Linked DNA regions of Oryza sativa Japonica Group. The protein of the gene in region 2 interacts with the protein of the main gene of each other region in a pairwise test. Links are inferred from orthologs where the notes say so. Each region holds a gene or a part of one and is shown on either strand. Other genes may lie near its edges.

Region 1 (4,177 bases), on a different chromosome or scaffold from region 2:
TCGTTCCAGACAGGCGAAAGATCCGCACGCGAAAACCGCTTTTGACCGCATGGAAAAATCATTATTGTACTAGTGTGCGTACGAAGCAAACTGGGATTGAAAATGTGATGCCATGAATGCAATTTAAATTGAAACGATTTAGGATGATACTTTTTTTAATAAGTATTCAAAGACGAAACCAATTTGATTCAGTATGAGTGGTACTTGGTCTTTCATTTGTAATAATCAACTATATATACTAATTCCCAAAAATTTTAGTCTAAACTTTGTGGAGTTGACACCTCCAAGACCATTCTTATGGGTAAAAAAGATAAGATGTGTTACGAAGATAAAGGTTTTCATGTGGCTCATATTCTGTAATAGGCTAAATACGAGAAATATGCTTGATAGAAAATATTATCCTTAAGAAGATGCGACCTTTTATGAGTGATTTGCTTTAGTACAGAAAAAGAAACTCCCATACAACTTTTTCTTTTCTTGTCCTTGCAGCAGAAATTGTTGGGAGAGAATTGGTACAAAAATGAATGATAACCTAGAACTCTTTCACATGTTGGTCTTGGCAAGAATTAGATTCATAAGAAAGGAAAAATGTTTATTGCAGGCATATCTGAAAATAAAGAAATAGGAAGATCTTTGAGAATATTACTCATGGAATGGAAGTCTTTCTTTGTCCAAGATGAATGACTCTCTTAGCTCCCTGAATTCTTCTTGGTTACAATGGTTATAATTTTATTTCTTTTATTCTTTTCTTGTTTGTACATAACTTTTTTTAATATATATAACAAATAGGCAAGGTCTGGTAGTTATTTTTTTTAATAAAAAGGAAAGTGAAAAGGAAAGGTAAGAGAATGGACAATAGTGTGACGTCAGCATTTGAGAGAAAATGCCACATACAAATTTTTGATGCGGAGGAAAGAAAAGTAGGATATAGGAGGATGTCGTCATATATAATAACTAGAGAATACCCCGCGTGTTCTCCGGGATTCCGAGTCTTAATGCAAGTTGCTGTGGAATTCCACTATAAATAGTCTCCCTTTGTCCCATATTTCTTGTCTTCCAGATTTAGGGCTTCACACTGACACCATAATTTACAATGGTAAATCGATAATTTTGTGGTTGCATTTAGTTTAGTACCAAATATTGATAATGTTTATGGAAATTGGTGACATCACATTTATTCCATCATATCAAAACTTAAACAATTTTATCAACTTACCAAAAATTTTGATTTGACTAAATTTTAAAAAGGTTTATTTTGGTAGTAATAATCTTAAACATGTCCTCGCTAAAGATTGGGGGAGACGTGGAGTACATAGGAGTATGTTCCAGTCTTTAGGTGTGATTGCTTTAAGATTGGTGACGCCACGTGTCAAGATTGTAGAACGGGCGTGGGGTTCAAGTGCCTCTCCCCAACAGGAGTACCTCGTCGGCGACCTGCGGCGGCGGCGATGTCGGCGGCGGCGGCGGAGGCCACCGAGCGGGGCGAGCCCTCGGGCGGAGGCGGAGAGATCGCGTACGTCAGCTACGGCGGGGAGCACCACCTCCCGCTGGTGATGTCGCTGGTGGACGAGGAGCTCAGCGAGCCCTACTCCATCTTCACCTACCGCTACTTCGTCTACCTCTGGCCCCAGCTCACCTTCCTCGTACGCCCTCTCCTCCCCTCACCTCGCGCGCGTGTTTCACAAGAGTTCGTGAGGATTTGATGCGTTCTTGGTTGATTTGATTTGGGGGACAACCCCTCAAAAGGCGTTCGATCCCAAGGATGGCAAGTGCGTGGGGACGGTGGTGTGCAAGATGGGGGAGCACAGGGGGGCCTTCAGGGGGTACATCGCCATGCTCGTCGTGCTCAAGCCCTACCGCGGCAGGGGAATCGGTGAGCCCTCCTTCGATTCTCCAAGAAGAGTTTCTCTGTTTGTTTGATTGGTTGATTGACTGGTTTGTTTCAAAAGGGAGCATATTCTTCCCTTTGATAGTATCTGCACAAGTCTGTCCTGAAAGGAAGCGTAGACCACTCATGAATCTAAATAAGAACTTAAGAATCCTGCTGATTGGGAGGAAAGCAAAGGGTTTTTCAGTTTTTGTTCCAATTCGATCTGAAATGGCTGGCACCTGGTGGAGTGGTGGGCGATTTAGTACGGATTTACAATCTTCCATCGATTTCGATATGATATCCATATGTACTAAATAGGTGTTTTTCCCTTGTTATGCTTGCACAAACTTAATTGAGTATCACTTTTACATGTGTCAAGAAATTACTAGCTATAGGTCTTATAAGTCTAATTTGTTTCATGATCCTTTCACACTACCATTTACTTGTTTTTTCTCTGTAATAGTTGCTTTGTGTTGATATGGTATTATTTTTGTCTTAACATCAGCAAGTGAAATATGTCTGTGTAGCAGAGTGGAACGAAAACTAGCTTACTAAGTGTTACTGGTTTTCTAAAAACGATGCCATGTTAAGTATTTAGTAGGATTTCTTTGTTCTTTGCCTGCTTGATTTGCAGAAAGGAAAGGCATTTTTTTATTTCTTTTATGGGTACAATAGCCTTCTATTGTTCCCTTCTCTTAAACTATATAATCTTCTCTCATCAGTTTCAATTGAGATTTGTGCTATTATTTTGATAAAATGTTAGTTAACTTTGTTTAGGTGGTTTTCTAGTTTTGTGTAGGAGTAGGTATTGTGTTATGAACCAATATTCCCATGTTTAGTTTTCCCTGTGACAGATGTCTCGTGTTGGGTGCTTCAGCGATTCAGTCTGTGGCACATGAGAGCATTTTGGTCGATTAGTTCTTTATGGTTGGAGCCATTTAGCACTTCATCTGATGTTGTAGTATGCAGCCTAACCTTATCGTTACATCAACTTCTTGCATGAGATGATTTCTTCTTAGTGTCATACACTTGGAAGCGTGCTGACTATAATTGATGTAGCAATAAATAGGTGTGGTGCGACTTGCTAATGCATATATCCTGTGTGGGGAGTACATTTTTCATAATACTTTTATCATGAAATGCACACTGATATTTACATATATCTTGGTACAATGGTACAGATAGTCTGTTTATCTGAAAAACATTGCCTTTGTTGTTTCTGTAATGACATTCGCAGCAAGGATCTTGACAGCTTTAATTGTTGAATCCTGCCTGACATGAATGACCTTTCTCGATGTATGAATAGAGTATATGGTAGCTTTGTCATCTGTTAAGAGTATTGCGAAAGCTCCAGCTTCAGTTCGAATAGCTTTCCTGAAGTATACAAGTGCTTTGCTTTTGCAAATGGTCCCCATTTGTCTTTTTTAATTTTATCTGTAATAAGCAATTAAATGGACACTATGTTGGCCTTTATCAGCTAACCCTCTGTTTCTTCATGGTACAGCCACCGAATTGGTTACGAGATCTATTCGGGTAATGATGGAATCTGGCTGTGAGGAGGTAATCACCACTGTGTTGTTATCTTCTCACCCGATGAAAAACTTATTATTATCCTATTGTCGTTTTGGTACCCATCACTTGACTTTCTTGGTGTAAAATTGCTTCATTGATTATTCAATTATGCCCTAGACTAATCTGCAATTTCCATAATAACAATAATATCTTTCGTGAAATTAGTACAAAAATTGAATTATTTGATATCTGACTCACTCTCCAACCAGGTGACACTTGAAGCAGAAGTTACGAACAAGGGCGCCCTCGCCTTATATGGTCGTTTGGGTTTCATCCGAGCAAAGAGGCTGTACAGATACTATCTGAATGGCGTCGACGCATTTCGCCTGAAGCTGCTATTTCCTCGCCCTGATCCTGGTATGCATCCAATGATGATGCTAGGCAATGAGAGAGATGACCAGCACATGGATTCTCCTTACTTGTGATACCATTCTGGTCGATTGATAGGATGAGTTAGGATCCAAGGCATTTTGCTCTTTTATGTCAGTTTGATGATGCTTTTGTAGCTTTGCTGTAACTCTTGTAACATTGATGTGTTCAAAGATAGTATCTTATTTGACATGGCATTATGTTTCTTTCAATCCATGTTAGACGGTTGAAAAAGAATGCCTTATTACATACTCCCTCCGTTTCTAAATATTTTACATCATTGACTTTTTAGCATATGTTTGACCATTCGTCTTATTTAAAAACTTTTGTGAAATATGTAAAACTATATGTATACATAAAAGTATA
Region 2 (4,113 bases):
GCTCCTCTCCCAATCCATCACCATCCCACTTATCAGTTTTGAGAACAACATCGGTCTAGTAGCAACTGCTCCTGAACCCACAGGAGGAAGCAAAAGCATGTCCATGCATCAGCAACAAAAGAGTAAAAATCAAAACAAAGCAAAGCAAGCTCGAACCTACATCGATCAACTACACCTAGCGCAACGCAACAGCCAACAGACACAGAGGCTTGCTAAGCTAAGCTAAAGCTTGCCATCGTGTTGCTGCATTCTCACAAGCCTAATTCTAAGAAGCTCCGAGTGAATTCTTGAAACAAAAACCAATGACATGCGCAGCAGCAGAAGAGATCGATGGAAAACCAACCAACCAACCAACCGATATGTAGTAGCATCAGTAGTAGTGCACTTGTGCTACCTCCAAACTTTGCTCCTCCCGAATGCAATCGACAATTCCTGCATGTCAAGAACACCAAAACCAGCAGCACAAGATTGATCAGCTAACTAACACGAGAAAAATTCTGAACTAATGCAGGTTAGCCATGAGAATTCTCGGTTTTTTTTTCTCACCGTGATGGAAGTGGAGGAGCTAGCTGATAGTCTGGTACATGGTGTGGTGTTTGCTCATGGTGGATTGGTGGTGGTGAAGTCATCTGCTCGCCACTGCTGCGGTCAGTGGTGAGAAGCCGAGGAGACAGACGACGGCGGCGGCGGCTTGTCGCCATTGCCGCCGCCGCCGCCGTTGTGCTCCTCGTCGCCCTGTATCCTCGCGGGGAGGCGGAAGCCGGAGAAGCCGATGCCGGGAGCGGCAAAACCGATGGCCGCCGACACGGAGGGGCTCAGCCCTCCTTGGTGGTGGCTCATCTGGTTGTCGGCTTCGACGGTCTCCGGCCATCCTCGCTCGGAGGGCTGGTTACTGGACTGAAGGGGTCCCCTCTGGAAGAAGAACTGGCTCTGGTGGCCACCCAGCGCCGCAGCCGCCGCCTGCATATGCGCCGCTTGCTGCGACACGTTGAACAGGTAGGCGGCGCCGCCGCCGCCGCCGGGGTCGGGCACGTTCCACGGCAGCATGCGCTGGTTCTGCGCCTGCTGCTCGGTGGCCCACATGGCTCCGCCGCCGAACGAGTAATTGGCGGCGCCGGAGAAGAGCGCCTGCTGCGTGGTGCCATTGCCGCCGCCGCCGCCGCCGCCATGGCGATGTTGCTGGTGGTGGAACATGGGGTCTGGTAAGGACTGCAGCGACAGCCGGAGCTCCTGGCTCTGGCTGCCGGTGCGGGACAGGAGGTCAGGCGTGTAGCTCTGGAAACCCATGGCCGACGACTGCGCCGCCGTGGTGGACGACGATGCCTCCCCGCCTGCGGTGCCACCCATGGGGAAGAAGGACTTGATCGTGTCGGCTATGGCGTCCGAGTCGAGCGACGGCGGGAGGAAGCTGGTCCCGCCGCTGCCCCCGCCGGCGAAGTCGAAGGCGGTGTGCGCGACGGTGATGGCCTGCGCCTGGTCGTCGGAGTTCTCGGCGGAGTCGGGGTGGGTCGAGGAGGACGGCGGCGCGGCGGCATTGCCCGCGCCTGCGCCGCCGGCAGTGGGCTGCCACGCCGGCAGCACGTCGAGCTTGTCGATGGCGTCCTTGGCGTTCTTGATGAGCCAGTCCACCGCCTTGCTCGGGCGGTCGTAGCCCAGCCGGTCCTGCACGTCGTAGAACTGGATGGCGGTGTGCGCCGACAGCCGCACGCGGCGGTCGCGCGGCCCGCGCGCCGTGCAGACCTTGCTGTGCCGGTCCTTCCGCCCTGTCGACCGCACAATGTGCCCGCCCTGCACCGCCACGATCTCCCCGCCGCCGCCGCCGCCTCCGCCCCTCGACCGTGGAGTTGTCGTCGCGGGGACAATCTCACCTCCACCTCCACGACCCCGAGTGTGGGACGCGGCGGGGGGCTGTGGCTGCGCCGTGAACTGATGCAGGTGGTGGTGGTGGCCGACGCCACCGAAGGAGAGGAGCTGAGGCTGGAAGCCGTGTTGGTGGTGGTGGGAGTGGCCGCCGGCGTCGCCCATGGGCGAGAGAAGGGCATACTCGGCGGAGGAGCCCGACAGCTGCCTCACGGACGCCGGCTGGAGGTGGAAGACGGGAACAGGCGGCGGTTCTTGGTCCTGCTGCACACCCTGGTGGTGGTGGAGCTGGAGAAGCCGGTGGTGGTCGTGCTGCTGCTGCTGCTGCTCATCTGCCTCCTCCTGTCCCCCGCTTCCTCCTCCTCCTACGCCGCCGCCGTCGCCGCCGTGGGTGACCCGGTGGTGGTGGTGCCTCGGATCCAGATCCCCCGCCGCCTTCTTCCCCGCCGCTACTGTTGCTGCTCCAATGCGCGTCCATCCACCTCGCCGGATCCCATAACTAGGTCGACAAGAAACACAAAAACCATCAAAAGAATCAACAAGAAGAAGGCCCCGGAGGAGGAGGAGGCTGCAAGAAGAAGAGGTGGTGGCCAGGGAGGGACTGACCCAGGAGAGGAGTGGGGGACTAAACTAGACGCAATCCCATGGATTGGACATCACATTTTAACAGGGGGGACGGCCAGCCAAAGCTTTTGCTCCTCTCTCACTCTCTTGTTGGGTTTGTGTGGGAAGCTTGGTGAGCAGGAGGCAGAAGGGAGGCAAGAAGACAGGATGATAAGAGTAGGATTTGTGCTTTAGTGAGGAGAGAGAGAGATAGAGATTTTTGCTTCACACTGCTGCTGCTGATGCTGGCTGCTGCTTTGTGTGTGAGTGTGTGTATCAGAAGCAGATGGAGCTTACCTTAGCTTGGCTGGGGCTGCAGGAGGCTGGAGCCCAAGTGATGAAGAGAGGTGGTGATTTGGGAATTGGGAAGGGATGGATGATGCTGGGGGATTGTGGGTTATGCATGCGTGGATGATTAGGACATCTGTTGTATTATTAAAAAACAGTAGACAACGATCGAATCGCGATGAAACTCGAACACACACACGTGTACGTGCCTTTGGGAAAAAAAATAAAAACCGGAGGCACACACCCTAGTCTCCATGGATAAGGAATTAAGCGCATCTCGATAGCTTTATGGTAATATATAGCAATTTTAACTATGTTTATATATACGTTCGTGTATATGTAACCGCTAGTATCTACTCGCACAATTGTGGAGTGATCTACTTAGCCGATTTTTCTTTTTTGTTGTACAGTAGACATGTTTGTCATGACATGAATATCTATGCTCTTCAGAAGCTAACTTGTGGTATTCTTAGAGAGTGCTTGTACTATAATTCTTGTAGTTGGGCAGTTGCATAGGCAAGTAAGATGGCAACTGGAGCTTTTTCAAGGGTATATGCCAATGGTTAATGATTTTCCTTTTTGGAAAGTCGAGAGTTGCAATATTAGTTTCAAATGTGAGACCTTTCCCCTGAGATACTTGTTTATAGATTGATGGTGTGTTTTATTTGTAGCCCCACCTTGCTAAAAGAGGGTTTTATGTGGCGTCATTGTCCAAACTTGCCCCAAGTTTGATCCATTGCATGGAAATAAGATCAAGCTATTTTTAGTTCATTTGATGCCAAAAACATAACGGGTCGAGGGACCGAGATGGTGCCCATAGATTTGTTCAAAAAAGATAGAAGGAAACACCCCTCATTGGCACATCTACATACAGGATAGTGTAAACTTGTACTTCCTCCGTTTCAGGTTATAAGACGTTTTAACTTTAGTCAAAGTCAAACTGTTTTAAGTTTGACCAAATTTATAGAAAAAGGTAGTAACATTTTGAACCAAAGACAAATTTATTCTAAAAATATATTCAATTATTGATTTGATGAAACTAATTTAGTATTATAAACATTACTATATTTGTCTATAAACTTATTTAAACTTGAAACAGTTTGACTTTGACCAAAGTTGTTTTATAAACTGAAACGGAGGGAGTATTTCCCTAGTTTTTATTCTTCTTATTCTTTTTTTTTTGAGAGAGAGAGAGAGAGAGAGAGAGAGAGAGAGAGATTTCCCTAGTTCTTCTGCTTAGTTGGAGTGCTCAATTTCATGGCTGCTATGGGTAAGCCGTAGTACATCTCAAAGGGAAGAATGCTAAAAACATAATTCAGCCCTATATGAGAATGAAAAGGCCAATTTATAATGTTGTACGAT

The links. The genes of interacting proteins can lie anywhere in the genome.
Region 1: the proteins of transcription factor PCF5 (region 2) and N-alpha-acetyltransferase MAK3 interact in binary tests that used the Arabidopsis thaliana proteins (3 or more experiments, as listed by UniProt). The link is inferred for Oryza sativa Japonica Group from reciprocal best matches to the Arabidopsis thaliana genes TCP4 and ATMAK3.

What each region holds. Positions count from the first base shown.
Region 1 is NC_089045.1:21,021,687-21,025,863, reverse strand, and holds N-alpha-acetyltransferase MAK3, read left to right. Parts: upstream 1-1,377; 5' UTR 1,378-1,448; coding exon 1,449-1,643; intron 1,644-1,746; coding exon 1,747-1,873; intron 1,874-3,374; coding exon 3,375-3,430; intron 3,431-3,651; coding exon 3,652-3,867; 3' UTR 3,868-4,023; downstream 4,024-4,177. UniProt on the Arabidopsis thaliana protein: Probably required for N-acetylation of some chloroplast precursor proteins and efficient accumulation of thylakoid multiprotein complexes.
Region 2 is NC_089035.1:6,231,382-6,235,494, forward strand, and holds the start of transcription factor PCF5, read right to left. Parts: upstream 2,801-4,113; 5' UTR 2,467-2,800; intron 2,460-2,466; exon of another isoform or gene 2,360-2,459; 5' UTR 2,026-2,359; coding exon 649-2,025; 3' UTR 547-648; intron 433-546; 3' UTR 1-432. UniProt on the Arabidopsis thaliana protein: Transcription factor playing a pivotal role in the control of morphogenesis of shoot organs by negatively regulating the expression of boundary-specific genes such as CUC genes, probably through the induction of miRNA (e.g. miR164).